Linked DNA regions of Rhinolophus ferrumequinum. The protein of the gene in region 2 purifies or fractionates together with the protein of the main gene of each other region. This does not show direct contact. Links are inferred from orthologs where the notes say so. Each region holds a gene or a part of one and is shown on either strand. Other genes may lie near its edges.

What was found.
Region 1: the proteins of RABGGTA (region 2) and CHM purify together in Homo sapiens (co-immunoprecipitation; 4 studies listed by BioGRID and IntAct, counting the BioPlex papers as one, with this or other methods). This does not show direct contact. The link is inferred for Rhinolophus ferrumequinum from reciprocal best matches to the Homo sapiens genes RABGGTA and CHM.
Region 3: the proteins of RABGGTA (region 2) and CHML purify together in Homo sapiens (co-immunoprecipitation; 3 studies listed by BioGRID and IntAct, counting the BioPlex papers as one, with this or other methods). This does not show direct contact. The link is inferred for Rhinolophus ferrumequinum from reciprocal best matches to the Homo sapiens genes RABGGTA and CHML.

What each region holds. Positions count from the first base shown.
Region 1 is NC_046284.1:68,792,782-68,802,771, reverse strand, and holds the start of CHM (rab proteins geranylgeranyltransferase component A 1), read right to left. Parts: upstream 4,241-9,990; 5' UTR 4,191-4,240; coding exon 4,142-4,190; intron 1-4,141. UniProt on the Homo sapiens protein: Substrate-binding subunit of the Rab geranylgeranyltransferase (GGTase) complex.
Region 2 is NC_046289.1:74,411,336-74,421,474, reverse strand, and holds the start of RABGGTA (geranylgeranyl transferase type-2 subunit alpha), read left to right. Parts: upstream 1-5,364; 5' UTR 5,365-5,596; intron 5,597-5,910; 5' UTR 5,911-5,964; coding exon 5,965-5,967; intron 5,968-6,142; coding exon 6,143-6,253; intron 6,254-6,639; coding exon 6,640-6,764; intron 6,765-6,957; coding exon 6,958-7,145; intron 7,146-7,402; coding exon 7,403-7,606; intron 7,607-7,924; coding exon 7,925-8,008; intron 8,009-8,097; coding exon 8,098-8,180; intron 8,181-8,268; coding exon 8,269-8,370; intron 8,371-8,474; coding exon 8,475-8,580; intron 8,581-8,665; coding exon 8,666-8,717; intron 8,718-8,885; coding exon 8,886-8,974; intron 8,975-9,128; coding exon 9,129-9,217; intron 9,218-9,311; coding exon 9,312-9,428; intron 9,429-10,032; coding exon 10,033-10,139. UniProt on the Homo sapiens protein: Catalyzes the transfer of a geranylgeranyl moiety from geranylgeranyl diphosphate to both cysteines of Rab proteins with the C-terminal sequence -XXCC, -XCXC and -CCXX, such as RAB1A, RAB3A, RAB5A and RAB7A.
Region 3 is NC_046310.1:18,518,898-18,529,311, reverse strand, and holds CHML (rab proteins geranylgeranyltransferase component A 2), read right to left. Parts: upstream 4,814-10,414; 5' UTR 4,525-4,813; coding exon 2,605-4,524; 3' UTR 1,713-2,604; downstream 1-1,712. Other genes in the region: OPN3 (opsin-3), read right to left, coding at 8,688-9,060. UniProt on the Homo sapiens protein: Substrate-binding subunit (component A) of the Rab geranylgeranyltransferase (GGTase) complex. Binds unprenylated Rab proteins and presents the substrate peptide to the catalytic component B.

The DNA.
Region 1 (9,990 bases), on a different chromosome or scaffold from region 2:
AAGTATATTAAACACTGACTTGACTTCTTATAAGGCCTACACAGAATTTAGCATTTTTTCAAGGACCCAGTGTCATGATTATGTACACACAATGGTAAATTTTTGAGCTGGTAGATGCCTACTTTAGAGGTCACTTAATGCAAATCTCTCATTTTGCAGATGAACAAAATGCGTCCCAAGAGGTTATGCAATTTGCCCCAAGTCACCCAGTAGGAAGGTCAAGTGATTCCAATTATGCCATGCCGCCATATCTAGTATTGCACCTTGTGGAGTACTATCTAGCAAGGTAGTCAGGATTTAGGAACAACAACCTTTGTAATTTCCATGTGTGTTATTCTGGTTATCTCATTTCTTTCCCCATAATCTTTAGCAATAAAACTTTTTAAAAGGATTTATGTGTTTACCCTCTGCAAAAAAAAAAAAAATTAAGCTAGCCTATCCTACAACTCATCTTCGGGGAAGAACTCCAAAATACAGTGTGGTGTACTTTAGAAAAGAAAGGGATGCAGACTGAATCTCTATATGGTGTTCAGAAAGTAAGAAGGATGCAATGAAAAGCCTACCCTGGCTTATGAATAGCTCTGAGAATGTCAGAGCCCCAAACAGGTCTTTAAACTAAGCAATACAGTAAATTTCACAAGGACAGTAATTAGGTTCTCAGTAAATGTGGGTTGAAAACCCAGAAAAGTGAGTGTTTGTCACTACACTAAATGGTCCCAGGACATTGTGCTGTTTGATGTAGGTTTGCATTTTAGGTGTTAAGACTCTTCCCTTTCCCATAAGGATATGAACGGTCACTTATATCTAATGAAATCCCCCAAACACAGCTTTTGCAGAAGCTGATAACATTCCCCATATCTTTTAATAGGATGCTTCTAATATACACTGAGCTGCTAGAATTATTTCTAAAATAAGAATGAATAATGCCCTAAGTAAGAGTCTAAGGGATTCCCCTAAATAAGAAACATGTCAGTATTATCACGTAGCTCTTGTAACTTCCATCTTGCCTGATCTTCTGTTGAGTTGTTGGCTCTGCTGCAGATTGCGATTACACAGGTTGCCAGGTAAGTCACCTCCAGTAACGTGTTATGCTACTGGGACTATTTTTAACCTGAAATCAATGATACTACAACCCATAAAATTATCATTCAAATAAATGTCTTTTTAAATGGCAAAATGTCTTGAAAATGACAATTGTGTACCCAAACTGAAGGTGACATTCTAGACACTTAATCACTTATATCCAGTTTTGTCCTCTCCCTTGAGACTCCAGTTGGCTCTCCTCTTATTCCATTTTCTTCCGTATTTTCCATGGTTTAAGTACTTTATCTTAACTACTCTGTCTTTGGGTGTTCCACAGATATTTCTTGTATATTCTAATTAGAAGTAAATGGGCTTAACTAAGAAAATACATACAAAAGTTTATTTTCCCATAATCTCTTCAAAACAGGATCTTAAGGAATACCTTATGTTATGCAAAACGAAATACAAATCAATCAAGGTCAAAGGGATTTAAAATATTTTCCATAGATGATTTTACTTGATGAAGCAATTATCTGTTAATGACATTGTAACTATTAATAGAACTAAATCTGTTTTAAGAAAAGTTACATCTCACAGCCTATTTCTTTTCTTTTTCTTTTTCTTTTTCCTTGTTTTTAAGGAGGGTGCAGCTCACAGTGGCCCATGCAGGGATCAAACCGACAACCTTGGTGCTACCAGCACCACACTCTAACCAACTGAGCTAACCGGCCACCCCAATTATTTCTTCTTGTTTCTGATACATGCATGATTAACTCTGCTTTTGTCAGTAAAACTAAATCTATGAAATACTGCTTTTCCTATGATTTACTCAAACCAGCACATTTAGCAATACAAATACAATTTAAGGGCTACTTTCAGCAAACTAGTTCAAAAGAGAAATATTCCAAACACATTAAATTCCAATTAAGTAATGATTGGAATTATTAGAATAATTTATCTGGGAAATGACTTTTATCCAATTTTTTCACTTTGACATACCTAAAAACAAAGCTTCATGCCATAAATTTAAGCAATGTGCTTGATAAACTCAGAATATGTTCACCATTAAGTGATAATGAAAACATTAATGTTTAAGATTAACTTCAAATAAGTTCTTCCCATATTTTGAGAAATAACATTACTCTCACTGAATTAAGTCTAAAATGAATCTTTTTCCCGATATAACAGATGCTTCCTGATGTAATTTGTTGATCACTCAAAGTATCTTCCTACATCTATCATAACATACTCCAACAGGATGGTTGCAGTCCATATTATGAATTGAACTGGAAGGCAAAATATTTATTATAAGAACTAACAGCATTTACCAATAAGAAATAGTGCCATTGCCAATTAAAATATGAATCCAGGTAAGAAAAAAAATCTCTTAATGATTCAAAAAGATATTTTAACACCCCAAGTGTTTCGGTAACAAAAACGAAAGGCAATAATATAGAACCCAAGTATGGTACAACAACTACTCTAAAATGGATGTTGTTCTCAGTTTTAGGATAGACTGAAGAGAATACATTAATAAATAGTCTACTGGCTTCTTCCAGCTCTCATCCAACATCTGTTCATAGCAATTACAAACAGGTTATCTGCAGCCATGCAGTTTTCAGGCTGGGAACAAACAACATTCTTGGTGTTCTGAGAACAATTACCCAGGTACAACTAGAATAAGAGAATTTCTGGTTAGATGACACCGAAAGACTATCTAGATTACCCTCCTTATATTCAAAAACAAGGAAACTGAGGAGCAGAGAAATTAAGTGCCTAGCCCTAGTATTTCACACAGCTAGTTAATGGCCAAGCAAGGTCTAGAACCGAGTTTTTCCAATTATCTTTACTAATGTGGGTTAATCGGAGGGTCTGAACTACTGATTCTCATTCTGGGATGTAATGGGCCTTTGGAAATTTACCAGCTATGTGATTGTGAGCAAACTGCAACCTTTCTAAGTCCTCTTGCAAAGTGTAGGGAATACCTACTCTTAACAAGGTTGTTGTGAGGATTACATACAGCTTGTAAAGTGCTCAGCACATGGAGTAGCAAATAATAAACACTGGAAAACAGGTAGCCATTATTTTTACTCCTGCCCTGGAAACATGGCTGCTCCTACTGTTTTAAGACGAACTGAATTCATTAACACAATGGACAGGGTCTCACTCTACCAGAGCTTCTCTGGCCTACCACGTTCTGCAGACAGGAGAAATCCCCACTCAACAACCTATTCCACCCCATCTAAAATCCACCCTTTACACTGTTAAGAAAAACAAAATACCAACTGCTGCCAAATGCCTTCTGCTACGTGTTGTATGTAGAATTTGTCAACTAGAAATTGCAGAGGGGTTTCTGGCTCCACCCAAAACATGGAAAATAAACGATGGGAAAACAAGGGGAAGATAAGATCACACACCTGAACTGGAACTCACAGCTTGTTCTCAGCTCATTTAATTGTGAGTAGGTCAGTGGGGTGGTAGAAAGCAAAATGCTTTCTTTCTGCACCATGAAGCAGGAATAATAGCTACCTCAAAAAAATACAATTCCCTAGGCTTCTCCACACAATAGAAAATAATCCGTTTCCTCGCCAAAGTAAATTAATACGCACACGGGTAACAACTGAGCATCTTTTGCGAAAAATTTAGGATTAAGCTGTATCCGAGCTGCACTGCACCCTAGGATTATATAAATATACGAAAAATTCCTATGAAATGGCGAGACAAAATGATGGGGAATATCACCTTGAAATCAACAAGAAGGAAATCATAACGTATGCCAAAGTCGTCTCCATTGATAAAATCCCGACCCTCCATTCTCGTGGCACTGCAAACCCACCTCCCTCTAAGGCAATTACAGGAATCACCCGCAGCAACCAACCTCAGCAATCGGCACGACCAGATCGACCCCCTACTCAAATGGCGCTAAACACCGCGGGTCCAAGCCCCTCCCTGGAGCTGCTAAATCCCGCGCTGACTCCAGACTACCTCACTTCCTTTCCGTCCTTCCTCCTATGCTCGACCCCTGGTATTTCTCGCCAACCCTCGCCACTGACAAGATAAGGTAGGAACGAGATAGACTTCCTATACTTTGTCCGGGAAGTACCAGAGCCACACATACCCGTCCCTATTACGATCACATCAAACTCCGAAGGGAGATTATCCGCCATCTTGACAGGAAACGTGTCATGTGACTATTGCTTGTGGAAATGAAATCAAGGTTGGCATTGCCTTGGTAGAAAGCGGAAGGGAAAGCAGTGCATTCTGGGTATTGTAGTTCTTGGGTGGCGGATCCAGGTAGGCGGCTACAGCATTATGCATGACAAATTTACGGGAATGTGAAAAGCTCAGTTCCTTTTCCAGGCTGAGTGCAACAGCGCATTAAGCCTGGAGATTTGGAGTACAAAACACATGTTGATTTTTACCCCAAAGGTTAGAATGAATGTGAGAAGACGTGGTAACCCTTGACAATGATGAAGCAAGAATTGTTAGAAGACAGGCAGGGCGGAGTGAAATTGCAAAGGGATTGCTCTATGAACAAAGGAAATTTGTCATTCCAGCCTGGAAACTGTTTTCCCGAGCGTGTCTGTACTTTCGTTTTGGCCCCCAAAGCATAATTTTTCACACCAGTACTTTCGGACTATATCCTGTATCTTTTTCGTTTCTGTGTTTCCTCCACAAAGTTCACGAAAAATTTCTCGCCCTTGTTTCGCCAGAATGGAACCCTCATCGTGTCTGTATTGGTTCTAGTGGGTCCAAACAGCTACCCCGGCGATATATATTGGCAAAATTAACCTTTCTTTACAGAAGGGAAGAAATACATGAAAGCATAGTAGTTGTTTGATAAGCGTTTATTGATTCAGAATCTGGTTTTCTATACATACACGAGGAGTACATTCAAGATTCTCCTGATAAGCAACTGCAGAAATGATCAAGATAAAATGGCCATTATATTAAGGTGATTGTATTTGATGAGGTGGTTTAGATTGTCTATGCTAAGCAGCTGATATAGCTCTCACAAGTATTTTCAAGACAGCCTCCTCCCACCCCGTTATATAAAATTCTTTGCTGTCTGAAAATACTAAAGCAAAAGGGGGCGGGGTGTGCATGGGAGTGAGGGACCGTACTTTTTGATCTCAGAAATTAGTTGTGTAGTTATTTTGCAAGACTTTCAAAATAATTCGAAGAGAAAGTGCAGTAGTGGACCCTCCCTTACACCACCTGTCCTCCAAGATGTTGGTGGTTTCCCCAGTCACTCTGTTGTTCCTTCTGCATGGTATGATCTTCACATTCTCTAGCAACGTTCGTCCTCAAGATTCAGTTCAGCTTCTATAATACCACCTCCTCCTTTCATCTCTTCCCTATATTTGGTTAAATTTCCCTACATAGCGCTACCACTCTGACATAACCTCCCATATTGCACTGAAAGTATTTGCATTTATATTGGTTCCTATATAGTACCCATATTCCCACACATTCTCACAAAAATACAGGGACCATGCCTTATTTGTTTTTAATTCCTGCATCTAATGTAAGCCTGGCACGTAGTAGGAATTTAACAAATGTTTGATGAGCTGAGCTTAGTCCTGACTCCCCTAATAGATGGTAAATACTGTGGAGACAGGGACTGAATCTTCGCTTTTATATTTGCGCACCACTCTCATGTGTCGTCATTTGAAGACACTCGATATCTTTGTTACTTTATTAAAGTTCCAGGAAAATTCTTGAAAATAGTATTTTGCTGTTTTGGGCTGCATTTTGCCCTAATCGTTAGCAACATTGTACATGAATATTATCAGAAGTGAAATAGATCTTATCTGTGAGACTCTTAATACCACCAATGGAAATGGAAATTAATAGTTTTCCCAGGGTAAACACAGGAAACTTTCCAAAATCTCCTCTAACAGCGAGAAACCACAAATGGGTGGTTAAAAACATGATAAAATATTTCTATCTTACTTTGGAGATATATGTGTATACATGTATATGCAAGTATACACACACACACACACACACACACACACACAGAAGTTCTGACAATTAAGTCCACGAACTTGTTACAACGATGTTGCTATCCTTTTTTGATATCAGAGGATTATTCATTATGAATTTGTACCAACTGGACAAACAATTAACCAAGTTTACTATTTGGAAGTGCTGAAAAGGCTGCATGAAAAAGTTAGACGAACTGAACTTTTTGCCAACAATTCATGAATCTTGTATCATGACAATGCACCAGCTCACAGGGCACTGTCTGTGAGGGAGTTTTTAACCAGTAAACAAATAACTGTATTGGAACACCCTCCCTACTCACCTGATCTGGCCCCCAATGACTTCTTTCCTTACCTTAAGATAAAGGAAATATTGAAAGGAAGATATTTTAATGACATTCAGGACATCAAGGGTAATACAATGACAGCTCTGATGGCCATTCCAGAAAAAGAGTTCCAAAATTTCTTTGAAGGGTGGACTAGGTGCTGGTGTCGGTGCATAGCTTCCAAGGGGAGTACTTTAAAGGTGACCGTAGTGATATTCAGCAATGAGGTATATAGCACTTTTTCTAGGATGAGTTCACGAACTTAATTGTCCAACCTCGTATAGTATATCCTTTTCAATATGACTATATCTAACTTTCGATTTTCCTTAAATATTCATTTAGTACCTACTATGTGCAAGGCACTGATTTAGAAGCTGGGATTACAGCAATGAACAAAACAGACAAAATCCCCTATCATCATGAACATTGCATCTAGTGGAATAAAACAAAACAAACAAATAATTACTCTGTAGTGCTAGTTTTCCAACATGTTTTACCCCAAATTTCAAATCCCACTGAGGCTAGAAAGCATGACCCTCAGAAAGATAAAATGCCAGCCTATATTTAATTGTTCTTTCTCTAAAGTCATCACACCCTCTCTAAGCAGGGAAAAGATTATTACATTAGAAATAGTCAAAGCTTCTACATGGAAAAAATGCTCAAAATACCTGTTCTTTCAAATGTATTTTTATACATTTTTTGCAAAGTAAAGATGAATATAAGAGTTGATAATGTCAGTAAAATTTCTGTCTATTCCATTATTCTACGGACATCTATGTTTGAGAACTGAAATATTTTAATTGGATAAGTCACAGTACAATGCGATGATGGATACCTGTGAACTGACTACCCGATTAAATCACTGTGACACTAATTTTATACTTAGTGGTTTCCTGAGTTGAAAACCAAATTCCTTCTATTCATAAGTGTACTCGACTGTGAAGTCTGATGTGTTACTTTTTTACAAACCTATAATTTGATGGTCTCTATTCCTGTCCTTTCCTTTGAGCTCCACATACATATATCCAACCCCTCCTTACTCAACATCTCTTCTGAACATGTTCATTACTGAATTCCTGAACATTTCAACCCCACACCCAATTCTCTTCATCCAATGTTTCCTACCTTAGAAATGACACCACCTTCTAATCAGTTCCTCAAGTCAAAAACTTAAGAATCATCCCTAATATATCATTCTCTTTCACCCTTCAACCATTTCATTGGCAATTCTTACCAGATTTATCTCAAAGATATATTGTAAATATATCCACTTCTCAATCAGGACTACCCTCATAATCTCTTGCCTAGAATACTACAGCAGGTCCCAGCTGGACCCCATAAGGGGTCCATAAATAATTGTGGTTGCTTCTCTCTAATCCACTCTCCACACTGCAGGTAGAGTAAATTTTTAAAAATTCAAATCCGATCATGTCCTCCTCGACCTAAATCCTTCATGATTTCACATTGCTCTTAAAACACACTCCAAAATTTTAAACATGGTCTAAAAGGCCAGGCTAAACTCTCTAGTTTCATTTTACACCCTTTTCTCTCTAAGCTCCAGCCATTGGCTGTCTTTCATTTCCTCTAATACCCCATGCTCCTACCTGCTTCAGGAACTTGAAACATGCTCTTCCATGTGCCTGAGGTGCATTTTTACCCTTTCTACTACCTTAATTCTACTCATTTTTCAGTTCATTCGAAAGGTCACATACTCTGGCAAGTCTTCATTTAGTGCACAGTCTAGCTAGCTTAGGTCTTCTAACACCCCATACCCCTCCTTTGTTGAACTTTTCATGATTAGAAATATGAAATTACTTATTTCAAAATTAAGTATTGAAAATTTCAAGTATTAAAATTACTTGTTTTATATCTGCCATTTTCTTAGAAGTTAAGTTTCACAAAGGCAAGGACTATACCTATATTATTCATCATTATATTCCCGATACATTATTTAGACCCTGCCTGACACATAATAGGCACTCAAAAATATCTGCTGAAGTCCCTCCTCTGGGTATATATCCAAAGCAAATAAAATCACTGTCTTGAAGAGATATCTGTACTCCCATGTTCATTGCAGCATTATTCACATAGCCAAGATATGGAAACAACTTAAATGCTCGTTGACAGATGAACGAACAAAGAAAATGTAGTGTATACATATAATGGAATATTATTCAGACTTTAAAAGAAGGAAATGCTGCTCTTTGCAACAACATGGATGAATCTGGAGAACATTATGCTAAGTGAAATAAGCCAGACACAGAAATACAAATATCACATGATCTCCTTTGTATGTGGAAAATAAATAAATAAATAAATAAATAAGTAAACAAACAAGTCAAATCCATAGTAATAGAGTGTAGAATGGTGATTATCAGAGGCTGGGGAGGTATTGATGAAAAGGTACATATTTTCAGTTATAAGATGAATAAGTTCTGGATACCTAATATACAGCATGGTGACTATAGTCAATAATAATGTATTGTGTATTTGGAATTTACTAAGATTGCAGAACTCAGGTGCTCTCACCACACACAAAAAATGGTAATTGTAGGAAGGGGTTAATATGTTAGTTTGTGGTAATCATTTTCACTGCATACATCTATCAAAACATCACATTGTACACCTTAAATATATACAATTTTTATTTGCCAAAAATAAATAAAATTTAAAATCTGCTAAATGAATGGATGAATCATAAAATATAGAGAGTCTTTAAAAAACAACACGAGTATTATTTTAAATGGGAATAAAATCAGTTTATTGCTCAGCAAACTTGTTTCATCAGCTGGTTCTATATGCATAATTCAACAAGTAATGCATACAGGGTTAATAAAAAAATCCAATCATCACAAAAAGTCATACAAGGCCTATTAAGACTAATAAGTCTCCATACCCTACCTGCTCATCAGTTGTCCTCCCCAGAAATAAGCACTACTATCTGTTTCTTATGAATCCTGTTAGAGATTGTGTGTGTGTGTGTGTGTGTGTGTGTGTGTGTGTGTATCAGTAATCCCTGTCTTTTTTGGCACCAAATGTAGCAGGCTATAAACATTATTTGTCACCTTATACCTTTATTTTGCATTAAATATATTTGGGAGATCCTTTGTTCTCAGTACATATAGGAATGCCTCCTTTTTAATGGCTTCGTATAATTCCATTTTGTGGATATACCATGATTTATTTAGTATTCCTCTATCGGTGGATATTCAGTTGTGTTTTTTCTAGTCCTTTGCTACTACAAATGATGCTGCAAAGAACATCCTTTTCTTAGGGAGGTAGTATAGGATGATGGTTATGAGTTCAGACTCTTGGCCAGACTTCCTAGGTTTGAGTCCCAATTCCGTCATTTACCAATGGGCCTCAGGTAAGTTATTTAACGTCTCTGAACCTCAGTTGCCTCATCTTTAAAATGGCAACAATGATATTATTTACCCTCCAAGGTGGTTATGAGTGATAAATAAATAAAGTACTTAGAACTATAATGGACTGGTAGTAAGCACTCAATAAATGCTGTTGTTAGTATTATAGTAGTTATGGTAGGAGTAGTCATTGTGAGCATGTGGGAAACACCGACTTTCACCAATCAGATTGGCAAAAATGAAAATGTTTGATACCACACAGCATTGGTAAAAGTATAGGGAAATGGGTAC
Region 2 (10,139 bases):
ACTCGTATACCTTTTCTTCTGGCTGTTCATCTGTATCCGTTATCATATGCTTTTATAATAAACTGGGAAACATAAGTGTTTCCCTGAGTTCTGTGAGCCACTCTAGCAAAGTAATCAAACCCAAAGGAGGGGGTCATTGAAACCTCCAATCTATAGCCAGAAACACAGGTGACAACCTGGGGGTGTATGTGTGAGACGGAAGTCTTGTTGGACTGAGCCCTTAACCTGTGGGATCTGACCCTATATCCAGGTAGACTGTGTCAGACCTGAGTTAAATCGTAGGACCCCCAGCTGTGTCACAGAGAATTACTTGTCATAGGGGGAAACCTCCCCGCAGTTGGTGACCAGCAGTGTCAGAAGTGAAGTGTTCTGTGTGAGTAGTAAAGGAGACTCGCAGGTGAAAGACTCCTAGTAGAGAAGAACTGGGTTTTTTCCTACACAGAAGGTGAAAAACTGAGCTTTTCCATTACAGGGCTGCTGGGAAATGAGCAGGGGGCCAGATGATCTGTCAAGATCTCTCCAGCTCTGATGTTCTGTTCGTGGTAGTCAGGGTTAGAAAGTCAGGAAACTGAGGCAGAGGAGGGTCCATGTTACAAGAGATAAGAAGTGTGCACTTCTGCCCAGGCCATGGGGAAGCTCCAACATTACCCTTCCTGCTGTACTTCAGCTTCCCTGCTCAGCTCTTCCACTTGCAATTCTTTTACCACAACCTAAGCTGACCCTCAGACTTCCCAACATTTGATTTCCCCGCAAATGCCTGGCTGCTCCCATCCATATGTCTAACTACTGATCACATGGTAACCGCTGACCTACGGCCCCACAAAGATACACCTCTTTAGGCTTGAGTTTTCCTTGCTGGCTTCCTTCCCCATCAGGCCCTCCAGCACACCCACCCCAGCTTTCCAGAAGTCTGAGGCATTTCCACACTCCTCTCACCTTCCTCCCCACTCTCTGCCTTTGCCGGCTACAGGAGAGACCAGTGGGCAAGACTAGGCTGGAGGGAAAGTGAGCAAGAACCTGTCTTCTGGAATCGGACAGTCGGGGCATGAAACCAGGCCTTATGGTTTATGAGTTGCGTGACCTTGGGCAGAGTCTCAGTTTCATTATGACTGTAAAACATTTAGTCATTATTATTTCTTATTAATACTGGCTTCAAGTTCATAGAACCTCTCCTCAAAGTCCATTTCTTTCTTTGCTTCCCCATTGAGACTTTCCCACCCTGCACCCCACCCACTCCCACCCCTACCCCACCCCACCCCCGTCCTACCCTCACCATGACTCTGCCACAGCTTGTTTGTGGGTTCCCTCATCCCCCCTCCTGGAGTGCCCATTCCTGCCGGGTGTAATTACTGCCTGCGCCCACGCTGACACTTTCTGCCTTGCCCTCTAGACCCCTCTCCAGGCACGTATTTCTTGCGGCTTCAGGACATCGCCACAGCAACCCAAACGTGTTAGGTAGAAGTAGCCTTTCTCTTCTCACGTAACACTCTCTACCCCCACCCCTGTTCCAAGACCTCTGTGCACACCACACATTCTCAAGTCCCTCAGCTTTACCATCTACAGGTCGGCATCAAAGTCGCCCACGTCCCTGCGTCTCAGTCCCACCTGCTACCAAGTCCTAAATAGTCCTCTTCTCATCCCCTCCCCACACCCCCATCCCCTAGCTAGCAAGACTGTGGGGACTCGCATTGGATTTCAGGTTCTGCCTGAATATCCCTGAGGAGGGGTTTTTCTGAACCCCGTCCAACATTCACCTCCATTCCCTGTGTTCTGGCACCCGATAACCCCCTGCCCCGTACCTATCTATGGCTGGAGTGTTTAAAACAGCAGGATCAAAGCTGTACACTAACGATTTGTGTACTTTTAGGATATATGTGTGCTTAATTGACAAGTTTTACAGGAAGAAAAAAAAGAAATATCAGAAGTTTAAGGAAAAAATTGGAAACCATTACATATCACCAGATCTAGAACAAACTCCTCTTGAGCTCAGTCTGGGTCAGGGGCCCCTTGTGTGGACCCCCATGGGCTCCTGTCCGACTCTAGCTTATATGCTGACATGTCCGTCTCACCCATGAGAACTGTCCTGTCCAATAGTAACCACTAGCCCCATGTGGTTATTTAAATTTCAATAAATTAAAGTTAAATTAAATTAAAATTTCATTTCTTTAGTTGCACTGGCCACATTTCAAGTGCTTAACAAACACATGGGGCTAGTGTTGACCTTCTTGGATGGCAAAGATATTGACTATTTCTACATCACATCAAGTTCTACTCTAGCAAAATGCTACGCTAGATATGCGCTCCAGGAAGGCAGAGACCACGTCTTTCTGGTCCTGCGCTGGATCCCTGGCACCCAGCATGCCCTCGGGCCCAGCTCTGATGCTCAATACCTATCAACAGATTGAATTAATGCACACACTGCACAAGACCCCACACCAGCTCCAATACCTGTGTCTTTCTCCCTCTCCCTGCCTCCAGAGTTCAACCCAGGGCTCAAGGTCTCTTTCCTCCCTCCAAACCATCTATGGTCCATGACTCAGGGTCCTAGAAGTGTGTGTGTGTGTGTGTGTGTGTGTGTGTGTGTGTGTGTGTGTTGAGGAGTAGGAGTAGAGAAAGTATTGATGGGGCAAGAGATGGTCATTGTGAAGAGACACCAGGGTTCCTGGCCTCAAGAAACTCAAGTTGGAGCTCTGTCAATGGCCGCTCCCACGTATGCAGTGGGCAGGCTCCCAGGTTTTGGTTTGAATTCTGGCTGTTTCCTCCCAGCTGTGTGACCTTGGGCAAGCAACTTAACCTCGGTCACTTCCACCGTATGCATTGTTTCCTCATTGTAAAATATGGATAATAATACCCACTTTACATATGTAGAGAGTACATTAAATAAGATGTCTGGGGCTCAGTTGAAACTCAATTATTGCTTGTTCCTTTCTCTACATAGAAGGCAGTAAAATCGCTTCCTCAAACATCATTCAGGTCATGGCCCTCAGACACCTGCATGCTTCCCACTTATCCCACACAGAGGCCAGAAATAACTCCTGATAGCTCCATTTGCCTTAAAGCAAGAGGCTTGTCATTAGTTCCACTGCTCTGCTTGCCAAAGGCACCTGGCTCACCTGTCTGCTAGCTACGTAAGTCTGTTTGGTTTCTCGCCCCCACCTTCACGTCATAGTGCACACCTGAAATTCCCTTCCTGCCCTCTCTTTCCAACAACCAGGCCCTACCTTCTCGGAAGCAGATTTGTTCATGAGACTCACTTCCTCCCTTAAGCCTGGTTGACTCATCGTTCCCAGTTTCAAGATCGCTAATTACTAAAAAGTATTTCATGCCTGCTTCAGCCTTTATCCACCCTTTTTTCTTCCCTCATGACTATGAGGTAAGACTGTACCTGGCCAATCTGCACCTGTGGGCATCTATCTTCCCAGGTATCTGGTTGTAAATGTGAGTGTGTATAGAACAGGAAGCAAGAGCGGGTGGTGCCCGCCACTCCAAAAAAAATAATGCATTTGTGAGGTGCGAGTGCTGGACCAGACCAAATACAAGTCCCATTTGGCCACTTACTATATCACTGGCATTTAGCAATTTACTTAGTCTTTCTGAGACTCAATTTCCTTGCATATTTGTCACAAAAATTAGAAAATTACTATTACTATTTATTACTGCACTGCCTTGCTTAGTGCAGGCACTGTTCTAAGCACTTTACATACATTATTTTATTGAATCTTCACTTCAACTCTAGCAGGTAGGTTTTATTAAAAAGATGTGGAAGAAATACAAAGAACTGAAAGCCAGACTGTCTTACCCAGATGTGAGTTATAAACATACACATACTACCTGAACATATACTTCTTACAAATACATCACACACACATACACACTCCCTATCACCTTGAACCCCATGAAGTCTCCACCAGGAAACCTTCCTGAGCTGGCCCAAACCACATGCTCTCTCCCATCCCCAAACACCAACCGTACTCACTATTAGGCCCAGCCAAACCAGCCCTCACTACATGGTGTTTGTTCATTCATTCAAATAAATACCCAATAACTACTAAGAACCAAGGCTAGGTAGCAGAGAGGCAAGACCAAAAGTGTTGTTCTTGTGCTCCAGGAACTTTGAATCTGATAGGAGATGCTGGCGTACAAACCAAGATTTATAGTAGGCACAGAGAAACAAGCACTATCTTTGACAGCACATATGAAGGTCTTCTAAATCAGACTGGGGCATTTTGGAGAACTTCCTGGTGGTGACACTTGAGTTAAATCTCAAAGATGAACAGGAGTTGCCTGGAAAAGGAAGGAGAGTCAAGAAGAGGGAACAGATTAACATGTTTGGGAAGCTGCAAGTACTAGTCCTATCCGCTGTGATGAAGAGTATTTAACAGGGACGGGCAGGACATGAGGCAGGGCCCAGTGCCAAAAGGCCTGTTGTGCTAATCTGAGAGATTCAAAGTCTGTCTTGAAAATTTGTCAGGAGCCATGGAAGGCTTTTAAGCAGAGATGTGACATGATCAAACCAGCATTTTAGAAAGACTGATCTAGCAGCACAGAGGATGAACTGTTAATAGATGGGACAGGGTGGAGATAGGGGAACAAGGAAAAGACTTTCAACAACCCAGGGAAGAAATGAGCTTAAATTCTTAGTGCAGTGGGAATAGGGAGGGTATTTAAGAGATATTAAGGGGAAATGGGAAGAGAATAGTGCCATTCACTACGGTAGGAAACATAAAGGCTAAAGTTTAGACTGAATGGAGGGAAGACAATACCTTTTGACTCTTGGAATTTGAGATGTCTCTGGGACACCCACGTGATAAACAATAGGTTTTTGAATGTGTGTGTGTGTGTGTGTGTGTGTGTGTGCGCGCGCACATACCCATTTTTCATTCATTATTAAAGCTTGCAAAACATCTGGGCTGGAGATACAAGTTGGAGTGCCATCAGCCTACAGGTAGTAATTAAAACCATCAGTGTGGATGAAATCACCCAGAGAAAGTGTGGGCAGGAAGATCCGTGAGCCCAGGACACAGCTCTGGGGAGCTTCAACTCATGAACGTTCAATTCATGAACGTTCTCCAGACAACAGAGAGTGAAGTGAAAAGGGGTGAGGAAAGGGCCTTGGAGATCATCAATATTTAGGGGAGAACAGAGGGGCAAAGGTGCAGTAGCCAGAACAGGGTGTCAAATCGAAATCAGTAGCCTCAGATGCAAAGGTCAAGGAAGATAAGGACAGGAAACTCCATCCATTAGATCTGGCAACTGGGATGTAGTCAGTGAAGCCAGAGGAAGGTCAGCGGAGTCGTGAGGGCGTGGCTTTCGGCTGTCGGAGAAACCTTTTCAACTGAATTGCGATTGGAGTAGCTGACTCAGACCGCAGTCGCCGCGCTTGCGCACTCATACTTGCCAGCGGGCAAACCGGGCCTTGGCGTTTCCGGACCCCGCGCACGCGCCTGCGAAGCCCACCTACTCCGCCCGGGGCCTCCGCAGGCCTGCAGAGGGCGCTGCACCTCGGAGAGCCGGGGCTGGGCGCCGCTCTAGCCAGCGCCTGGGCTCGGTGGCGGGTGCCGCAACTCCGCGTCCCCGCCGCCGCCTCCCAGCGCAGGTGGGTCGGCCCGCGCGGGGCGGGAGTGCCTGGGACTGTGGGGCGGGCGGGTGGCTGCAGGCTCCGGGCGCGGAGTGGTTTCCACCGCCCAAGTGCCCCGGCTTGGGTTCGGTCCCGGCACAGGCAGCTGTGGGCAGGGCCGCAGGAGTGAAAGTCCCAGTCCGGGTGGGCGCTGCCTCTGGACGTGCAATGCCTGCCCAGAACCCCTTAACACCCCGAGGGTCTCTGTCTCGGCTCGCGTGCGGCTTCCGCGGGATAACTGGAGGCCGGCCTCGCAGGGGCGGGGCTCCCATGATTGACACTTTTCCCCCTAGGTTTCACGGGCTACTTCTGGATCCCTCCCCTATCCTGAACCCTGAGCCGACACCATGGTGAGAACCCAGAGCTCAGCCCCCCACTTCTGCATGCCCCTGCCCTTGCCCCAGTGGTCTTGCCTCTCGATTTCCCTTTATAAACCTGGGGCTCTTTAGTGGGGATTCAGTGGGCCTGCCCATCCATGCAAGACAGCCCGCACCCTTCCAACCTGCCTTTTGCCTTTCCCTGTAGCACGGCCGCCTGAAGGTGAAGACTTCAGAAGAGCAGGCGGAGGCCAAAAGGCTAGAGCGTGAACAGAAGCTGAAGCTATACCAGTCAGCCACCCAGACTGTCTTCCAGAAGGTGGGGCCCTCAGATGTAGCCCTCTCTTTAGGTAGCCCCTTTAATATAGCAGAGAGGCCAAGAACTGGGCCTTAGAGTCAGATTGCCTGGATCCGTATCTGGGTTCTATCCCTTACTAGCTTAGCTATGTGACCTTGAAAAGGTACTGAATTTCTATTGGGCCTCAATTTGCTCATCTGTAAAATCGGGCTAATAATTGCACTTACTGCATAAGGCTGTTGTGAAAATCAAATGAGAGAATATATGTAAACCCATGAAGCACTTTACATCTGTACATAGTACCTGTTGTATGAGATTTATAGAAAATTCTGTACTTCTATTTGTGTTACTTAGTCCTGTAGTGTGAGAATGATAACAATCTCTGATCCTGCTACCTATCTTCTCAGCGCCAGGCTGGCGAGCTGGATGAATCAGTGCTGGAACTGACAAGCCAGATTCTGGGAGCCAACCCTGACTTTGCCACTCTCTGGAATTGTCGACGAGAGGTGATCCAGCGCCTGGAGGCTCAGAAGTGTGTAGGGGTTCAGGGCCCCAGGAAGATGGCTCTAGCCCTGGCCCTGCCCTGCCTGGATCCAGTGATGGAGGAGGAATGGGGCAGCCAGAGGCATAGGCAGAGGGCAGTGGAAGGGCTGGGTGCAGAAAGTCAGGTGTAAGCTGCGGTTGGGTATTGGAGGGCCCTGACCCCCATTCCCCTCTGGGTGCAGGTCCCCTGAGGAATTGGCTGTTCTGGTGAAGGCAGAACTGGGCTTCCTGGAGAGCTGCCTGAGGGTGAACCCCAAGTCCTATGGTACCTGGCACCATCGCTGCTGGCTGCTGGGCCGCCTGCCAGAGCCCAACTGGGCCCGGGAGTTGGAGCTGTGTGCCCGTTTCCTCGAGGTTGATGAGCGGAACTGTACGTGCCTGCAGAGTCTATCCCCACAGCCTTCACCTGCCCCACAACCTAGTACTGGGGTCTCAGTAAGGCCCAGAGTTGGGAGGGATGGTCAGGACAGGCCCACTGAACTGATGACAAAAGGGATGATGGAGCGAAATGCATCCTCCATGGAGTGCATAGAGGTGTTTCTAGGGGCCTTTGAGGGAACTCCAGGGCTACCAGACAGCGAGCTTCTCTTGCCCTGCTTCTGAGATGTGTTGTCACCCCTCCCCCAGTTCACTGCTGGGACTACCGGCGGTTTGTGGCTGCACAGGCAGCTGTGCCCCCTGCAGAGGAGCTAGCCTTCACCGACAGCCTCATCACCCGAAACTTCTCCAACTACTCCTCCTGGCATTACCGCTCCTGCCTCCTGCCCCAGCTGCACCCCCAGCCAGACTTTGGACCACACGGGCGCCTCCCTGAGGATGTGCTGCTTAAAGGTAAGCAGGGTTGGGGGTGCTGGGGAGGCCTCTGCAGTACTGCCATTCCAGCTTAGTCCTGTTCCTGAACGTGCACTTGGATTTACTGAGCAGTTATTCCGTGCCTGGCTCTGGGGGGTACATAAGATTCAGTCCATGGCAGAAGGGAGCTCAAATGTCCAATCGGGAAAACAAAACTGGTATATGCAGCTGCTGTGCCAGGCCCGCATATAGTGAAACTGAGGACGGAAGGTACTGGGAGGAGAGCGTGGGATGTTGGGGCAGCTAAGAGCCCACCAGGGTCCTAAGCACAGCCCTGTGCCCCCTTGACCCCCCCAGAGCTTGAACTCGTGCAGAATGCCTTCTTCACTGACCCCAATGATCAGAGTGCCTGGTTCTATCACCGCTGGCTCCTGGGACGAGGTGAGCCGTAGGGGAGGAGGCTGGGTCTTGAGGGCTTGGAAGGAAAGGAAAAGGATTTAAGGAGACCTCAGGCTGTGTCTTCCTGCCAGCTGATCCCCAGGATGCTCTGCATTGCCTGCACGTGAGCCGGGACGAGGCCTGTCTGACTGTCTCCTTCTCTCGACCCCTCCTGGTGAGTCCTGCAGCTTTTGCCAGAGTATCATGGATCATGGGCCTCGTGCTTTTGGGACTGACAGGTCTGTTTTTGTCCCCTGTGCCAGGTGGGCTCTAGGACAGAGACCTTGCTGCTTATTGTTGATGAGTCACTCCTGGCTGTGGAGTGGAGGACCCCAGATGGCAGGAACCGGCCCAGCCACGTCTGGATATCCCAGAATTGGTGGGGCGCACTGGGGAGCTGGGGCAAGGCTATGGTGGGACAGTCAGAAAAATGGTATGGCCAGGTATTTCCTTGACCCAGTGCTCCCACATCTGTGACCTGCCCAGCACCTCCCTCAATGACCAGCAGCCCCAACATACATTTCGTGTCATTTGGACAACAGGCGATACTCAGAAGGAGTGTGTGCTCTTAAAAGGTGACGCAACCTGCAGCTTCCACCCCTTGCAGCATCCCTCTTCCTCTCATGGGTGTCCCCTCCCTGCCCCTGTTCTTTCTTTCAGGCCACCAAGAGGGCTGGTGCCGGGACTCGGCCACAGATGAGCAGCTGTTCAGGTGATGACAGGGAGGCACACCGACAGGAGTGGGCTGTGGGCTCTGGGCATCCGGCCATTGGGGCGGGAGGCTGGGGATCGGTTAGATGGTCGCAGCCTGGATATGGGTGTGGCAGTAGCCGAGGGCTATGAGCATAATAACCCCCACCCCCACCCCACTCACCCTCAGGTGTGAGCTGTCAGTGGAGAAGTCCACCGTGCTACAGTCCGAACTTGAATCCTGTAAGGAACTGCAGGAGCTGGAGCCTGAGAACAAATGTGAGGCCCCATTCCCTGGGATCCTGCCCCTCTCAGGAGGCCCCTTTCTGGGAGAGCGGAGCAGGGGAGGTTTGGGAAGAGCAGGAAGGGTCTCAAGAGGATGGGAGCAGAGGAGGGTCCAGGAGAGCCGGTCCCGTTCCCGCCCTCTTCTCAGGGTGCCTGCTCACTGTCATCCTGCTGATGCGGGCGCTGGACCCCCTCCTGTATGAGAAGGAGATGCTGCAGTACTTCCAGACCCTTAAGGCAAGCTGGGGCTTTGGGAACCGGCAAGGGGATGGCCCCGGGGGCAGGAGGAAGGCAGCTGCCACGAATTCCTTGCCGGCCCCATCCCTGCCAGGCTGTGGACCCAATGCGGGCAGCATACCTGGACGACCTGCGCAGCAAGTTCTTGGTAGAGAACAGTGTGCTCAAGATGGAGTATGCGGAGGTGCGCGTGCTGCAACTGGCTCACAAGGTATGGGCTCCGTGTGCTTCCCGGGCCTCCCCTCTGGGCCACGCTTCTTCCTCATGGCCTGGCCAGCTTTTCTTTCCAGTCCTTAGGCTTCCGCGGACGTCCTCTCTGTCCAGCCTCTCCACACTCTTGGCTTTGCCTTCAGTCTCAGGTGCCTTTCTGGCCATTTCCTCCTCTGCTCATTGGAGCAGAGCAATATCTAAAGGCTGAATAATTCCCAGAGATTCCTCACAAACTTTACAGACTATCTTTCTCTGCTTGTAGTTCTTCCCAATCTTCCTAACACATCACTGCAGCCCATCTCTGCTCCCACCAAATGGGCTCAACTCGCCAGGCCTGCTCCTCGCCAGTATCTGTGTTTCCCCCCCCACTCTCCTCTGTCCCCTCTACCTGTCCCCACTCCATCCACACCACTGGCCACCAACCCCAGTACTCACATCTGTCCTTGGAGTGTGTACTCTGGTGGCTTGTAAGGTAAGCTTCCCACCTGCCCCATCCTCTCCTCAGCTGAGGTCCCCCGGGCCTCTGTGGGGCACAGAGGGCAAGTGTCTGATAAATGATAGCTGAGGCCCCTCCCCACTGGGTGGTCTTGTCACCCCCTCCTCAGGATCTGACGGTGCTCTGCCATCTGGAACAGCTACTCTTGGTCACTCATCTTGACCTGTCGAACAATCGTCTCCGAGCCCTGCCGCCTGCCCTGGCAGCCCTGCGCTG
Region 3 (10,414 bases), on a different chromosome or scaffold from region 2:
CCTCCCCAGAGCGGACTTCCGCAGCTGAGATATCCCACCCCATTCTTAACTGCCACACATAGATGTGGGACCAGCCTATTCCGTGTTTATGCTCCTCCTGCCAGTCTCCACGTGGCTTCTTCTGTATGTCCTTAGTTGTAGGGCTTTGGTTCAGCTAGATGTCAGGCGATTCTGTGATGGCTGTTCTGTAGTTTAGTTGTGATTTTGATGTGGTCATGGAGGAGGCGAGAACAGCATTTACCTACTCTGCCACTCTCACAGGAAGCTTCTCCCATAATATTCTTAATGCTTTTAATTGGTTATCACTTTTCTCATTTCTAATTTATTTTGCATTCAAGTTAAGAAAGTAATATATTCACTTTGTTAGTTTTTAAAACCACCCTTATATTTGGCTAGTTTAACACATTTTTCCTGTTTCCATTATGTTTGGCTCTCCCATCTTTTGCAACTTCTTTGTTCCTTTTCTTAAATTCTTAAGACTAGTGTATTGAAATTGAAGTTTTTTAAATAGGTATGGATTATCTTCACCTCCACTTTCTTTATCATCTTAAATTCTTTTTCATTTTAATGACTAATTTTTAGGTCTATTTCAGGCATTTTTGCTGGATTTAAACTTTAGGATCCACTCAATACCACTTTGCTATATTGAAAAAAAGTATATAGTATATATCTCAAATACACACACACACACACACACACACACAAACACACACACACCAATTCACGACTTCTCTATTTTTAGTAAGGTGTAAATTACTTAAATCTTTCTTGTTTCCTTTTCCTCACATATGGAAGAGCAATAAAAGATTATTCAGAGTATATTTTGCCCTAGTAACATCTGTATTTTTATAACACGATGTTCACATCAAAGGGTACATTATTAAAAAGCCTTATTTTGTGAAAAGTTAGCCAAATTCTGCTTCATGAGCTCTAAGACCTAATAGCTCTAAGCTATTATTTATTTTCAATTACTCTTAATCTTAACATATCTCTGATTCAATAAAGTGCGAGACCAATTTCTGTATACTTTTCTTCACCTTCAACACTAGACTGGTTTTCATGAGCATTTTTCCTCCTCTAGTACCCACACTCTTCCAACAGTTAATGTTAATGGAAAGATTTTGAAATCATGAAAGCCTGGATTCCAGTGTTGTCTCTTCCACATATCAGACTCTGAGCAAATTACTGTCTTTATTACCGCTTTGAAAATGTGTTCAACAACATCTGCCTCATCGGGTTGTTGAGAGTCTGTAATGAGAGAGCACAGTGAGTGCCCAGCAGGTAGTAAGTCAATGCTCTGTTCCAGAACAAGAACTGCCACTGAACAGTTCTTTTCCTACAAGATTACCATTCTCTGAGAAATGGGAACAGGGGACTGAAAGGGAAGGGAGTTTGCCCCTTCTGACAGCTCCACAGGCTTTCAACACTGGAGTAACAACAGCTTTATGGCTTCTGGTGGTTTTGTGAAAAACAAGTATTTCTATCCTCTAGATAACAGCCAAGAGGCAGAAGCAATTATGGAGGTGGTGACCTCACTATTTGTGGGGCGGGACACAACCGAAGGGACATGATAAAGCCTCCTCTGATTCACTCCCATCGATTGTAGTTAGCGCTGCTAATTACAGAGGTAGAGCCAACAAGTGGAATGTTCATTCTCACTGAGAAACCTCGGGCAAACAATCCCAGGTTAAAAACAACTCACTTGGTTTCTCCTTGAAATTTCACAACAGTCAGTATGAAGTATCTGTTTCCTGGAGCAATTTATTTTTTTCTCTTGTCCTGAGTTACTTGTTGGAAATTCTTTTCTTTCAGGTGACAGATATGGGTTCTGTAAAAATTTTCTGAAGTATTAAATCAGAACCAATATTATTCCCTAGACTTTTTTTGGACTGAACCTCCAAAGAATGAGCTCTTCAACAACTAACTGAAGATTGTGTGGTGACATTGCCTCATTGGTTACAAGGGTCAAGCAGGAGAATTAAACCACAAGACTTATTGTAAACATCATACCTTCACAAATAAAGGATCATGTAAAGCTAACCTTTTAATTAGACAAATGTATTTTATCGTATTGGCATTTGCATTAATTGCTATTGCTAGCATGTATATGTTTATATTATATACAAAAGGCCCACATAATTTACTCTGTGTTTTATTCAGAAGTGGTAGCAACTATAACAACTGCAAAGTAAAATATTCCTTAGATATTGTCATTGTCACAATAAAATCTGAAGGTCATTAGCAGACACAATATTACCTTCCTTTAAGCACAGTTGCTAATGTGGAATCCTCACATACATATCAATACTAAAATAAAGCTAACCTGTTTAAGATTCTGGATTATGGAGTATATTCTGAAACAAAGTCCAATAACCAATAAATCAGTTACTGATAGGTTAACAAAGACATCCATGACTGAATGTCTCAAACAGAATTAAAAACATCTGCATAGCACTCATCATATAACCACTTCTAATTAATCATCTAAGAAACGGTCGTTTCAATGAGAATATTCTGATTCTAGGATGGAGACCCAAAGTAGCATTTCCAATTTGCTTTTTTCTAATCTTGAAGGTGCTTCCCTGGGCTTTCTAGGTTTTTGCTTCATTCAGCGGATTCTAGTTTGGCCATTATTATATTATTGGTTCCAGGAGCCTCTGGTTGCTTATCATCACCATCAAAGACAATGTCTTCTGGATTTGGAGGTGGGGGGCAGAATTCTTCACCTGGAAAGATCTCCTGGAAAAGTGTTTCAGCTTGCTTGACTGCATGCTCATTTCCTAGTCCACAGTCAGGCCCAGAGCAGACATACACATTGGAAGGTAAGCCACTATATGAGCTTCTGCTGACTCCTGAGGAATCTCTCATATTAAAATAGAGAGCCCACAAGACTCTTGGCTTTGTAAGTTCTTTATCTATTTCAGTTTCAGCATATGGGGTGAACAATTTGTTTACCACTGATTCTAAGTCTTCTCTTGCTGTTTTAGAAGACGAACAGGTCAGATGTATCAGATAGGTGTCTTTCATACATGTCATGGTTGAAGAACATAATTCAGTGACCCGAACAGCACACATGCCGGGTTCTACTGGAGGCACTATCAAAATGGAAATCTGCTGATCTGAATCTGTCTTTAGTACAGACTGATCTGTAATGAGCACTGCCCTGGAGATCTGCCTGTACTGCACATTTGAGCATGTTTCCTCAGAAAGGTAACTATCCTCCACAATAAAATACTTAGCATTTATTCTTTGACCAACGTGATCTATAATTGCTTTGCATCTGCCAGATTCTTTGTCAACTACAAGGCATTGTACTTTATGGCGAAGACAATAGATTCCACCAAAAACTGCACACATCCTGCAGAAACACTGGGGAATTTCCCCTTGGCCATACAAGGGAAATAAAAACGGAGTGTTGCCGAACCGTCCAAGACACTGAAGAAAGTTTTTTGTTGCTCTAAGGCCATCTATTGTAGTACAGGATGACTCTGTCATTGCAATTGAGTGTAGTACAAAATGCTGAAGGTTGGGGGTTAATTTTTTAGTTTTTAAGTACTCTGAAAATGAACACTGTATGAAATCTTGGTATTCATCGGGATGTTGTTCATAGTCTAAACAAAATGTAAGAAACTTCATTAGCATCCTCTTTTCAACCATAGTGAGTTCTTTGCTATTAAATACATCTGCTCTGGAACAAGGCACCTGTTCTACTTTTCCTTCTCGAAATGTAAGAATCCTAGTGACATTTTTAAATTCAGCATAACGACTAACATTTGATTTGATTAAAAGATCAATTAGCAGTCCTTGAGAATATAGCAGCTTTGATACTAAGTCAATATTAAACTTTCTGCCTTCTTTAACTATTTGAGAGTAAGTAATCCTATTTCTCTTTGGTCGATCAGTGTTGTCTTCCACTATAGGTTTGTTTTCATCTTTATCTCCTCCTGCAATGGTGTGCATACAAGTTTTATCTCCACAATATTTTTCTTTCACCTGAGTTTCCTCTATCCCAGTTACTTCTAGTAAAATCTCTCCATCAGTTTTTGGAGTGTCTTTGACAGACATTCCGTAGCTCGTACCATATAATGAGTGTGTTTCTTCAGACAAGCATGCAGAATCCAGAGGTTTAGTAAGGGTACCAGATGCTACCAAGGAAGGATTTTTCTGCAGACGATCAATCTCTTCAATATTGTCATCCATGTCCTGACTGGCGTAACAAAACACTTCTGTGTGTTGAATGGTTTCATCCTTCCTATGAAGAGTGATGGCTTCTTCTGTTTCGTGAATCAGATCTTGCCATGTAGTAGTACTTTTGTCCCCAATGTCACTGTTTTGCTGATACTCCTTCAACCAGGAGAGCAATCCTGAAAAGGTGAAGCTAGCCCAGTTTCCTCCATAATAACTTCTTGAATCAACATGCAGAACCCTCTGACCACTTCTTGAACATGCAGCTGCAAGGATGGATTCAGGCAAACCTGTCCCTATAATAACCACATCAAACTCTGTAGGGAGACTGTCTGCCATCCTGAGAGGTAAAGTGTCTCGTGATGACTGCCGATGAAAGAAATGTGTATGAATCTAGGCTGAGGGCTCAGAAGAGGTGTGAATATGCTGAAATAAAATCTCTCTTTGTGATGTTCCAGTTCATCCCAGAAGTATCGAGGTTGCAGGTCCTAGCTGTACTGTTACCCCTTTTTAGTGTTTTGTTTTTGTTTTATTCCTTATAGATCAGTAGCACAAAAACATGATAAAGTACATCTAATCACATTTGAGAATACTAAAGCGGATGTGTAGTTTTCATTTCTGCATTTCATCTTAGCAGTAAATGTCAAAATGCATTACATATGCATTTGTGACTGGAACTCTTCTCTGAAAGAAGAAAATTCAAGAAATAATACAGTTGTAAACAAGATTAAGAGAAACATAATTTCATGCAACAGCGATTACAATCCATTGAAGCCTGACTTATTAGGACATAAGCTACTACTAAAGCAAGTCATTAAATGCTTTCTCACATATTTTCTAATTTCTTCAAAATTAACAATAGAGATATACTCCCCTCAAATCAGGCAATTCAATAATGAAGGATATAATAATGTCCCACCAAAACAAAGAACATAATGCCATTCTATAACTTCTGCTTTTAAGAAAACTAATATGTGAATAAAACTATACCCAAACGTGAGCTTAGACTATAGAAATGTGTAGCTCTGCTGTGTTTATGGAAACAGACTATATACGATGCGCACGCTGTTATGAGGAGAAATGTTTTGTGCCCAGTACCATCTGTGGGTGATTCCAGAACAGTTGAATAGAAGACTTTCCCACACCTCACTCACCACTAGGATCTCGTGGTGGCAACATGGGGCTATTTCAACTGAATTAACACATCAGTTTATTATAAAAGGATTAATTCAGTAAAAGAATAAGTCTACTGAAGGGAAAATGTATTTATAATAAATCTTTATGTGAGTATACATACGTACAGATATGTATTTTTAGGTATAAAAATTCTGGATTCAAATGTTAAAATATATTAACAAAAATAACACCTACTTCTAACATTTGAATAGGCTGACCTGCATTTTGACAGATTCACTCTGTAACCCTAAATCTCTGTGTCCCAATATAAAGATCTGTCTAAACATCTTCTGCCAAGAATAACATGTTTGCTGTTCTTGTTTTTGAAGGGGTAGGAGGTGGTACTTAAGAAAGGCCTATCACTGCTTATATTCCATGTGCAGAACATCTGTGTGGTGCTAGGTTTGGCCAGAGGTGGAGCAGCCAAGGGGGTAAAAGGCACACTCACCTGGAAGTCTGTAGGTTAAAGCACTACACACACCATACGCTAGGGGGCCCTGCTATTATCCATCACTGCAAAGTAAGAGACTTCTTTGAGCTTTGATTCTCCCCACTATTAAACTTACTGAAATCTAGACCATTACAAACTGGGCCTGCCTAGGCTAAGATGACTAATTATCTTGGACATTTGTAAAACAAGCCATTCCATCAAAACTTAGATTAAATTGACTAGTTCAATGAAGTGACTGGTCAGTTTAAGTGACATGGCTATCTTAACAGTCCTATATAGTCAAAGTCTCTGCCTCAAGAATATCTGGGAGTCCACTTGTTTTCAGCATTCCGTGAGAAACCAGAAATTGAACAGAATGAAGTGGTTGCCTGGCCTACTCATGTATGTATGTAAGTGTGTCTGAATTACTTATTCTGCCTTCTTCCAGGAGGGTGTGCAGAGGAAGACAGAACCCATTAGGGTATAAGAGGTGTAACCACAGTATGTGCTTTTTCTTGGCTTACAAAAGGGATAGAGCTGGGGATGAGAGTAAGAGAAGAGGATAGAAGACATAAGTGCTAAAACCAGGAACCTTTTAATCGACAACTATCAAAGGAATCCTCAAAATACACAGCAAGTAGGCAAGGCAATCTTAAAAATGATTTAGTCAATTATCCCATAATAGAGATATTATGATGGCTGAAGGGCTTAAGTGATGGGGAAGTCCCCACAATGGTTTTAGCCACAAGATCAAGAGTAGGAGCCACTCTCCTGCCATCAGGCCAGTGGTCTTTCCACGTGATAGGGCAGCCTCTCCAGAGGCCTCTGGAGCAAGCAGCCACTTTTGGCATTTTTATTTCCTCTCATGGTTGGTTAGATCTTGCTCAAGGATGACAAAGGGGAAAGCACCCCCTTTTTCTTTATCTTTAACTTTTATCTAAAAGCACAATCCTTAGAATTGACTTCAAAGAAATTCTTAATCTTTGCTGAGAATGTTTTAAACCATCCTAATCCCACTATTGACTTGTCTCCGAGGGTTTAAACAAGTCTCTTGATCTCTTACCCCAGCGTTTCCATTTCTAATTAAAATGCAGAGATAGTCACGGTTGAAACATTAACTAAATGTCCAGATAAACAGAGCAGTGGTCAGGGAAAATACCATGTGGTGAATATTTCTAGTAGTCTTAGATTATCCCTTCTGATCGGGATGGGATCTGAGTAGGGATGATGGAAGGAAAAAGGGTGGAAGAGACAAGAAGACACAGCAAGGTGGGGTCACAGAGGGAAGAGATGAGGAAGAGACTGAAAGTTGCTACAATAAAGAACTCAATATATACCCTTGTTTTCAAACTCCCATGCAGAGTTAAGATAGAAATAGAATTCCCCAGCACAGAAAGAGCACTTCTTAGAAATAAGGACTTTCACGTCTGTGACCAAACACCTCTTGTTCATCCTTGGGAGCATTATTGATGACACTTTAGGCTTGAGCTTGAATCACTCTCTTTAAAGCTCAGCCCTGCTTAAAAAAAATTGCCTGATAGGTATTTTAAATTAATATACAGTGTAATCACATAACCATCTATATCACTGCCTACATATACTTACAGCCCTCTACCAAGTTTCAAATCTTCATACAAATGAAATTCTCAGATTAATGCTTATTGGGGAGGGTAAAGGTAGTATTAGAATATTAGAATGATTGAGGAAATCAAACAAATGAAATCATGGTATCTATGGCTTTTTTGTTTCCTTCAAAATATCAAAAAATGAATCATTACAAATATAATCTTCCAGTTTGTCATAACATATGAGGTTGGTAAACAAGGAAATTTTGATAACGTTACAAAGATTTTGTTCTCAAAAACCTGCCAAAAGCAGTAAAAAAATTATCAACGGATTTCAGGATTTAAAAAAAAGAAAGCTTTAACACCTGAGAAACACACATTTCTATTTCAAATCTTCGTACAAATTAAATTCTGGAGCACACATAAAAAGATCATTTCTTTCCTGAACTTAGAAAATCACATCTTCATTGATATGCTGATGGATCCATCTTTCAAGTCTCAGTGAGACTTAAACCTTTGGTAAGGATTAGGAATACTGTTGAAATAAATCTTTAAAAATCAAGTTCTACTTCAATGAAATCTACTGGCTGTACAGCTAATTTTTTGTTCATCTGAGTTGAGATTCTGAGTTATTTGTAATCTCACTTTGGATTTTGATGTGCTGGAACCCCTAAGAAGGAAAATATAGTAAAAATAGCTTATCAGGCTCAAGTCAATTTGCATACTGACGACCCGAATGATCTCAATTCCTAGGAAGCATTCAAAAGTGTACAGTTGCTAATGAGCGAATTACACATTGCTGCTACTCTGTTAGGTTTCTACCCTCTCGTTTTAGGAAACAAACAGTATATAAAATCTCGTCTCATCACCCTCTACAACTTTCAGGAGTTCATCACTTTTGTTCTTGATTTTCTGACTCTCTAGTGCCTCGTTTCATTCCTCAAAGTGTAAAAGCCAACGTCTCGTGCCCTGTTGAATTACAGGGATGCAAACATAAAAGAGACAAGAGGGCCAGTGGCTGGACAGAGTTATGAAGGAGCTGGGGCTGATGACAGACGGGCTGAGGTGTCGGGTCCGCGTGGGTGTAGATCAGTGACCACAGGGGCGGAGTCGAGGTCAGCGTGGGGCAGTTAGAACTGAGGGAAGAAGGAACGCCATGCAGCTTGGGATCTAGGAGCGGGAGGGGAGGCGCAGCCGGAGCAGGGCGGTAGCGGGGGTGAGGTGAGGTTGGCTGGGTGGCAGGAGGAAGCGCAGAGACAGACGATGGCAATGCAGGGAATGGGAAATTGGCAGAGGACAGAGGGGTGCTTTCTCCTTCCGGCTCAACTCACCGAAGAGGCTGCTGCTAAACCCGTCCCACACGCAGCCCACGGAGTCCCAGACCCAGCCGTTCCGCAGGCAGGACACGAAGGTAAAGGTGACCCCGAAGAGGGACACCAGCAGGTCGCTGAGGCTGATGTTGACCAGGAAGAGGTGGATGGGAGTGCGGAGCTGCTGGAACTTGTAGTAAAGGACGAGCACCAGCAGGTTGTTGCCGACGCCCAGCAGCCCAATGGAGCCGAGCAGCAGCGCCAGGCGCTCGTAGGTGCCCGGGCTGAAGAGCGGGCCGGGGCTCAGCGTCGCCGCCAGCGCTGGCCGCTCGGCGCCCGCGGGCCCGCCGCTCTCCCACAGGCCCTGGCAGCCGTCGCACTTCCCCGGGAACATGGCCCCGCGCGCTCGGCGGGAGGCGCTCAGCGTTGGGTTCGGCCCGGGGCGTGCCGGGCACTGGGAGGGGCGCGGGCTCTGCCGCCGGCTCTGGCCATTGTGCGCGCTGGCACCGCCCTCCCCACCGCCCCTTCCGTCCGGCGCGGCCTCGTAGCCACGCCTCCTCCCCGTGGGCGCGTTCCCGCCGCTCCCCGGCCCGCAGCGCGCCCCCGTCGCCACGCCCCCCGCGCCCCTCGTCGCCACACCCCCCAGCGCGCGCTCGTGGCCACGTGGTCGCGTACTTGCCCCGCTTTTCCCGCCTCACGTCGCCAGGTCCCATCCGCTCCTGCCCCTGCAGGCGCCCGGGCGGACAAAGCAGCCGGGAGGCGAATCAACCGCAGCGGCTTCTCACACCCTGTCTCTCCCTCACCCAACTTGAAAGTATCACGTGCATTCACTCACTTACGCATTGGCTCATTCATAGACATTCATGAGTGCCTGTGCCTGCCCTGTGCTAAGGTGGTGATGGGATAAGGGACTCCCACCATAGGCTTCTCTCCTTCCCAGGAAGCGAGCCCACAACGCCACTCCCATCTCACACACAGCGGAAGCCCCCGGCTGGACCCCGAGGGCTGCCAACGTGGTCCTTCCTGGCCTGCTCTGAAGTAGCTGTAGAGACATCCTGTTGCCGAGGCCTGCCACAGCCCAGGCTGGCAGTGACTGCCCAGGCGGTGCCCTCAGAGCTTCAGCCTAAATCTAGCAGAGGTAGATCCTATATTTAGAACAGCACGCTTTTCCCCAGTAGCAATGAAAATATAGTACAAGTCAAATATAGGTTGTGAACGTCATCACTCTCTGCAAGAGCTGCACCTCTGTCTCTGCACAATCAGCCCCTAAACAAGGCCCCGCAGAAGGACCACAGCCCTGAGCCAGACCTGCAATCTGTCCTGGGCTCTGGTGACTAGCACAGTGGATGGAAGAGCAAAGGAATTGCCCTCCATGAGGGCGTTTATCCCTCTTACCTCTGTTTAGAAGGACCAGGAAAGAATGACTAGCTTCAATGAAGCTATTCCAAATCCAAATCCCAATCCATTCCAAATCCCCTGGTAATGGAATCTTGTCTTCAGATCAGGGTCAGCTCTCCACCCTGGTGCATTGAACAATAACTGAGAAGCAGTGAGCTCTGCCCTCAAAACCTTGATTTGTCTCTAAGCCTTCCAAAGTGGATTTGTCATCTATGAGACTAGCACACCACACACTCTTTAAAAAACTCATTTAATTGTATATATTAGGTTTATGCAACCATTTAATAAGCTCTGTATGTTTAATGTCCACTGTTTTTTCAACATAGTGCCTAGTCTACAGTAAGTTCACA